Danio rerio: one gene and its partner. The protein of the gene in region 1 interacts with the protein of each later gene in a pairwise test. Links are inferred from orthologs where the notes say so. Each region holds a gene or a part of one and is shown on either strand. Other genes may lie near its edges.

What was found.
Region 2: the proteins of zbtb25 (region 1) and sephs1 interact in binary tests that used the Homo sapiens proteins (3 or more experiments, as listed by UniProt). The two-hybrid records come from large-scale screens. The link is inferred for Danio rerio from reciprocal best matches to the Homo sapiens genes ZBTB25 and SEPHS1.

The regions. Positions count from the first base shown.
Region 1 is NC_133195.1:30,436,690-30,441,022, reverse strand, and holds the start of zbtb25 (zinc finger and BTB domain-containing protein 25), read left to right. Parts: upstream 1-1,468; 5' UTR 1,469-1,625; coding exon 1,626-1,873; intron 1,874-3,335; coding exon 3,336-4,333. UniProt on the Homo sapiens protein: May be involved in transcriptional regulation.
Region 2 is NC_133193.1:9,553,813-9,557,642, forward strand, and holds part of sephs1 (selenide, water dikinase 1), read right to left. Parts: intron 2,626-3,830; coding exon 2,522-2,625; intron 2,433-2,521; coding exon 2,325-2,432; intron 997-2,324; coding exon 842-996; intron 1-841. UniProt on the Homo sapiens protein: Synthesizes selenophosphate from selenide and ATP.

The DNA of each region.
Region 1 (4,333 bases):
ATATATATATATATATATATATATATATATATATATATATATATATATATATAGACACTTCATCATATCTGTTAGGATATGTGAAAAATGTTTTAATCAACATAAATGTTTTTTTTGCAATTATTAATGTCGTTAAACTTGTCTCTAAGTATGGTTAATACCATTTTGAGGAAACCTTATAATGACGTGAATTTGCATATTGATTTTAAACTTATCTAAAACTGTTTGTGTGCCCCTCAGGTCTGTAAGACCCTTTACAAAACACTGCCGGCTTGCTCTTTCGTCCATGCAAGTCGTCAAAGGTTTTATACTTCACGCTTTTAGTTCAGCGAGACAATAGCCAAGGCTAAAGCAGCTATACGGAGCTCCAATTAGACAGAAATTAACAAAAAACGAGCACATAAATACAAGCCGGGCGCCTGCTTTGTATGTTTTCACTATGCGTTCGTCTGGATCAGCTAATGTACAGTACGGTCACGTGACGGATAACAAGCTAAGCCGTCAATCGCATAGGAAGAAGCGCGAGACCATAAGAGAATTTTCCTGCTGCAACAAACACGAAATTATTCCCCCTTTCTCTCGTGTAGTTGGTAAGAATGCATTTTATTGGGACCGTGTGAATGCATTGTGTCTGTGCTTTGGTTCATGCATGTTTTGTTGGCCAAGGTGCATGAAAACGTACACCGTCTCTTCGACAACACTTGATCGGTGTAGACCAGACGTGTGAAAATTATTATGGTTCTGTCGCGGACTGATCTGCTGGTAATCAGAACAAAAATATCAGAGAAACACGAGCTTAGTAGCTTCTACACGGTGTGGGGGTATTATCCATTCATTCAGTCATGACATTTTTCTATGCGACGAACAATTGCTGTTTGTAAATGTCCTTTTTGTGTAATGATTTTAAGAGCCCCTGACAGGTATTGTCAGATCCCGGTTTGCCTGCAAAGGTAAACCGCAAACATTAAACGCAATCCAGTCGTTGCATATTAAGTAAAGTGTAATCGATAGAATGAACCATTCTTCTGCACAATGCTACACACATTTAGGAGAACGTACCGCTTCAGAATACTTCTTTGCAAATCACCGGATAGCATGTATAAGTAACGCGAGAATGTAAGTACAGATGCGTTTCACTATTTAAAATGGGCAATTCTAGCCAGATGTAAACATCTGGTTCGTCTCAGAAATGGTCAAAATGTTATGGCTATTTTGATCGATAGAGGTCGCCAGTCACTAAGTCAGGCTCTGAGAGACTCAATCGGTTGATTCTAGCATATCAAGTAGGCTACTTAGGAAAATATGGATCTCCACAAAAAAAAAACAAAAACATTTTAAATATTAAAATCAATTACAATTAAAACTTGATAAATAATCTAATAATATATTTCATGAAATATTATTAATACGTTTTCTCAAGGTTGTTGTACTTGATATGAACAAAAGAGAGCAAATTTTTTAAATTTGTGATGTGAAATAAACAGACAGAAAAATTGGACTTTATAAAGTAAAAATATTGTATTTGCATTTGATTAAATATAAGATACATAATTTATATAACTAGAAACGTTAGCTGATTAAATCACATTGATTAATCAAGGTAAATGGCACTACAGTAACACAACATGAGTTGTCTGTTCAAGTTCTGCCTAGGAATCCAATTGTCTTCGGTGTTTGTATGTTCTGTGCAACAGGTTGAGATGGACGTGTCTGGCCACAGTCTGTTCCTCCTGCAGCAGCTGAACGTCCAAAGGGAGTTTGGCTTTCTGTGTGACTGCACTGTTGCCATTGGCAACGTATACTTCAAGGCTCATCGTGCAGTCCTCGCCGCCTTCTCAAACTACTTCAAAATGATCTTTATCCACCAGTCCAGGTGAACTCAAATTTATTTTGAAGTGTTCTAATGTGTAAGTTCTGGATTGAATGGTCATTGATCATACAATGGTGATTGAAAATGGAAAACATCCTACAGTTTACACAAATGTTGAGGTCACTGCTGATTCCCTGTTGAAATTATCAATGAAATAATCATTTAAGCATATTTCTTAAGTTACTTATAAATGACAGTATAAAACATGTAATTTTATTTTTTTTATATTATTTTAATATTTGAAAAAAAAACACTGATTAAAATCAGAGAACACTTTCAGATACTTCCTAGTCATTGGTATTAATATGTCACCAGGTGGTAAAGTTACTTAATTATTAGACACACCACATTTAACTGGGAAACTAACTTTTCCTTCTAACTAACCTAATAAGTCCCCCTAAAATGCTGGTTGTCCATAAAAGACAAATGCAAGAGAGTACCAACAGGCCCGTAGCCAGGCTGGTAAAAAGTGTGGTTCTTTTATTTAAAAAAAAAAAAAAACTGGACCTTTTTGCAGGTATTCACTTCATTTACTACTTATTTATATACTATCAGTAAGGACTTATTTATGTACTATATTTCCTACTTATTTATGTATATAAGTACTGCCATTTTTAGCTAGATTAGCTTGTCGGATGGTCATCATAACCACACTTTTTGATGTAGTAAAAATATTTATGTACTAAAGATTTAGAATAAAGAAATATGTAGAAAATACTTATTTTTAAAATACAAATTTATTACATATATTATTGGCGGGGGAAAATTAATCTATTAAAGTTTTAAATTAAAAACTGTAGCTGATTGTGTCATTCATAAGGCAAATAACAAACTGAGCAGCACATTCAATTTTCAACAGTAAGAATTTGGCCATTTGAATACTGAACAATTAAAACATAATAATAATATTGTAGAGCTTGCCGATTTTTCTAGCGTCTCTTGTAAAAAAGTACTTTTGAAAATTCCTGGATAACAACAATAGCCTAATTAGTATTCAAATTAACTGTATTACGGTCCGCCTTTGGTGCTTCACACTTATTTATAGGTGATTTCTTTCTTTCAAGAATAAAGTTCAATAATTTAGAATAAAAGTTCCTTGTAAAATGTTTTCTTTAATTAGCAATATAGTAGGTCAGTAGTGAAAGATGACGTCACTTATGTCAGATTCCGCTTGCTCTTAAAGCCTTTTATGGGTTATTTTCAAAATTTGTAACATTTTCAAAAAATGTATGGGACAAATTCTACACCTTTGTCAGTGGAAGGTGGATCTTTGGAACCACCCAAACCCTCCCTGGCTACAGGCCTGACCAAACAATGTGATCGCCACTGTATGCAAAATGACTGATAGAAAAAGCATTCTTTGCATGTTAATAGAACCCATCTGACCAAATGATAATTATTAACCATCATTTAAAGGAAAATAAATTGTTAACTCTATTTTAAATGACTTTTCTCTTATTCTTAGTGAGTGCATCAAGATCCAGCCCACAGATATTCAACCTGATGTCTTCAGCTATCTGCTACACATCATGTACACAGGTATGGGTCCTAAACAACCTGTAGACCAGGGCAGACTTCAGGAAGGCATCAAGTTCCTCCATGCGTACCAGCTCTGCCGTAAAGCAGGCGAGAGTGGTCCTGATGCATCCTCTGATGCCATCCGTATGTCCAATCTGTATGGCATCCAGATCTCTTCCCAGCTGGCCAACAAAGAAAACTCGGGCCTGAAGGCTGGTGGCTCACGGGACCCTGAGGACGGGCGTTCCAGCACACGGGCCGATCGCACACATGGCCGTTTAGCACTCGCTGTAGGGCTGGAGGGCATTGCATCTGAGCAACACCCTCAAAGCTTTCATGCCGCGTCTTCGGTGGCCTCGGGGGACGACTCTGACATTTCTGCACGGATCAAACAGGAACGGGTAGAAGAGGAAGAACAACAGGAAGGAGACAAAGAGTCTTCAGCTCTTTCCCCAGCCCAGGTGAGCCCCTGTCAAGCGGGTCTATTCAGAGATGGCCCTCTGGCACTTTTGTGCCCTCGATGTGGGGAACGCTGTTTGTCACCTGAAGGCTTACAAGAGCACCTTTTTACCCACGCAGCCTGCGCCCTCGAGTCTAGCACACTGATGGAAGGCCCGTCAGAGGACAAAAGCGGGGAACACGCATCCTTGGAGGAAAGGCGGCCTCTTAAGGAGCCTATAGACTCTGGTAGTCTGGAGGAGGCTCTACGGCAGAGTCAAGCCCTGGCTGATGAGCTGGCTGTTGAACTCAGGCGAGGTGGTGGGACTGGGAGGAGCGCTAGCCCATTGGCAGCCTTCACGCGAAAGAGAAAGATGGCCTGTGCTGTCTGCAACCTCCGTTTCTCTCAGAAAAGCCAGCTGCAGGAGCACATGTTTGCCCATGTGGGAAAGCCTCTGCGATATCATCGCTACAGCCGTTTCTGCGGGCAGCTGCTTCACGGCTGCG
Region 2 (3,830 bases), on another chromosome or scaffold:
CAGCTGTGTTTGATTAGGGTTGGAGCAAAACTGTGCAGAGCTGCGGCCTTCCAGGAATCCAGTTTGAGATCTATGGCTTAAAGCCTTAATTACGAAGCAAGAAACAGTTTTTTTTTTTTTGCAATGTACATACTGTTGGACAATGAATATGACAAATATCTTACATGCAGATTTGTAAATATAAAAGTGTATTTTAATGATAGCAGTATCTGTAAAGTGACAATTATAATAGGGTAATTGAGAAAGTAAGTGTAAGTATTTTAGCTTTACTTTTTAGTTGGTTACACAATGTAATGTGATTTTATATGCACATAATGTATAGCATGGCTTACATGGATACATTCACAGTATGTTTTCACAGCCTTTGATATGAGCTAAACACTGGGCAGGATGTAAATATATCAATATTTGGAAAAAATTGAGATATATACCATATATTATAGAGAGATATGATTTGTGTTTGTTATAAATGTACTGGCATGGGCCGCTATAAGTTTCTGAAGGTATGATAACCTTGGATAAAAATACCACGGTTTCTTGGTATCGTGATTACTGCTTTAAAATAAGTTATTTTTAAATGTCTGGGTAAAACAAAACAAAAATTAAACACAATTTACTTTATTTTAAGAAACATTTATATATTTTGGAACAGTAAACATGCCAGGCTAAATAGTCTAAATAAATAATTGACTTCTGCTCTCTTCACTTAATTAAAAAAACCTTATATTTACCTTAGAATCGGTATAACTGAACTTTTTAGCAGTATTAAAACCTTAAGTTTTCCAAACCGCGTAAACCTTAAAAACGGTTATCGTCCTATGCCTATAAATGAGACACTTACATAATGAACTCATTAGGTTGGCACACTGTTGTGGCTACACCTCCCAGGACAATCCACGGATTTATAACCGTCTGACCACCTGTTACAGAGGTCCCTGCTTCCTCTGATGCATCCTTAAACCCCTGGATGACCAGCGGCATGACCTTATCACGCTCCTACAACACACACAATCAGATATTGAGTCAAAACACATGCTTAATATGCGAGATAAAGGTGTCAGGTTGTGTGAAAGAATAGTGAAATTGTTCAAATGTAATAATGATAATAATACATTTTAAATGGTTAAATGCTGCTGACAAATGGGAAAAGCACAGTGGTTGGAAGGATATCAGCAAAGTTAAAGTCCCCATGAGATCAAAAAGTACTTTTTTCTTATTTCTATACTTATATAGTAGTTCTTATTATAAATGGTGTATCTGTGCTATTCATTATTTAGTAAAAATCTGTTTGCCCTAATAAACTTTAATCAATTACCAAAACCTTCCATGCACACTAGAAAAGACTTTTCTTCACGTCCTGGTCACATGGAATTCATTTAGGGCGTGCATATTAGTGGGTGCCTCTTTTCTGCTCTGAATTAGTCCATTCGTCAATCTTTTAAACAAATAAAATTGTGTATCAGCCTACATTTTTTCTAATTTCATGACCATTTCAAGTGGATTTGCTGGTCATATAATTAGAATATCTTCAAACAGTTGGTTTATTTTACTAATGCCATTCAAGAAGTGAAACTTGTATAATGTATATATTCATTCCACACAGACTGATATTGTTTCAAGCATTTATTTATTTTAATTTTGATAATTTTGATGAACAAATCAAAACCTTAAATTCAGTGTCTCAGAAAATTTGAATATTGTAAATGCGTTCATTAGACACAAGGAATGTGACAGCTGAAACCCATGTCTTGCATACGTCTGTGAGTAGTGGTTCTTGAAGCACTGACTCCAGATGCAGTCCACTCTGTGAACCTGCCCCACATTTCTGAATGGGTTTTGTTTCACAATTCTTTCCAGGGTGCAGTTATCCCGATTGCTTGTACACGTTTTATCTACTACATCTTTTCTTTCCCTTCGCCTCTCTATTAATGTGCTTGGACAGAGCTCTGTGAACAGCCAGCCTCTATTGCAATAATATTTTGTGTCTTGCCCTTCTTGTGCAAGGTGGTCATTTGGACAACTGTCAAATCAACTGTCTTGATGGAGGACAATTATAAACTTCCGTCTATAAGATGTCATCATCAAATGTTTTACCATTGTTCTAAAGGGCCTATTACTTTATAAAAAAGTATGAACTATCAACCGGGTTTTAGTCACATCAATCATTTAGATGCCCTAGACACTTGTGTATCAAATATGATACAGCAAGCTTTTAAAAACAGATACTTGTTTGCATTTTTAGGCTAGCTGCTCCTTAAAATAGCATACATTAGATGCACAAACACACTTTGCCTGTACATTTACATATCAGTTTCGCATCTCACCTTCTCTGTGAGCTTGTTGCTGACACCGAGCAGCATCAGCATGTTATCGCATTCTGTTACTCCCATGGCGTATAGGTCACTCAGCACATTGGCACAAGCAATTCTTCCCTAGAAAGCCGAGAGAATTCATAGAACATCATATTGAGCACCTAATGTGACGTATTCTCAGACTATGTTAATCTGAAGTCAGTGTTTACCATCATATATGGATCATCCACTATGGGGTAGATGTAGTCTGTGGTCTGTACAAGCGACAAGCCTCCATGTCTCAACGGGATCACGCAGGTGTCCATACCAATGCCTGTTTTAAATAAACATGAAGACAAAAAACATCAATTTGATGTTTTAGAGGTGTGTATAAAGTTTTACGTAGTCTTCAAGCTTAAATGTTTATGCAGAAATGTGTTTTTAAGGGTGACAGTCTTAAAGGAATCCTACAGGGTGACAGATAGGATTATTTCTGGAGAACTATTTACTTAATTCACCATGAAATCCGATTTAACTATTCTTCTTATTAAGGAATACTACAGTAGTTATTGCAAATTATTAATCAGTGCACATAATTATTTTTACATTTTCATGTCTTAATAATAGTTTCACCTCACATTTGCAATAGAGTGCTTACTAATGCAGGCCAAAATAACCCGTCACTAACATAATATCCACCAACAGCATCTACAATAAACCATCCAGATGGACAAAATTAAGTGAATATTTCAACAACTTTTCTTGATCAATAAGTCATTTCACTTGGCTATATTTTCATTCACTCATTCATTTTCTTTTCAGCTTAGTCCCTTTATTAATCCAGGGTCACCACAGCGGAATGAACCGCCAACTTATCCAGCACGCTTTTACACAGCGGATGCCCTTCCAGCTGCAACCCATCTCTGGGAAATTGGCTATATTTTGATTTAATTTATTTTATTCCTATTTCTGCACAAAATTGTGTAAAAGAAAATATGTAGATTTATATAGAATTCTTATTTGAGAGTAAAGAAGCTAAAAACTTAAAATTAAAAATAACAGAACCATTATTTAAAGTTTAACATCCAAATACAATCAAAACACTTATCAACAAAATAAAGAGATAATTAAAAAAAAATTTATAAATGTATGTATTTACACACATTTAGCTATGTAATGAAGAAAAAATAGAACAGGGACTACCGCAGCTTCATGCTAGTATCTACTAAATTATTAATCATTAATTAATACATTAATCAACACTTTTAGCAAATGCTCCTTGATGTCTTTAAACAGGGTTCATACATATTTTACAACTAAAATTCTATGACTTTTCCAGGACTTTAAGTACATTTTCATGATCTAATGTTTCATCCAATGTCTACATATAAATAAAAAGAAAAACAATGCACATTCAAATATATCACAGCATATTATAAAACACATAAAAATCTGCTTAGTTTGCATTTATTTTTATATCTATGTCAAATTTATTTTAAAAATGCTTATACAGCACTAATAATGTAAGAGCATGTGTAA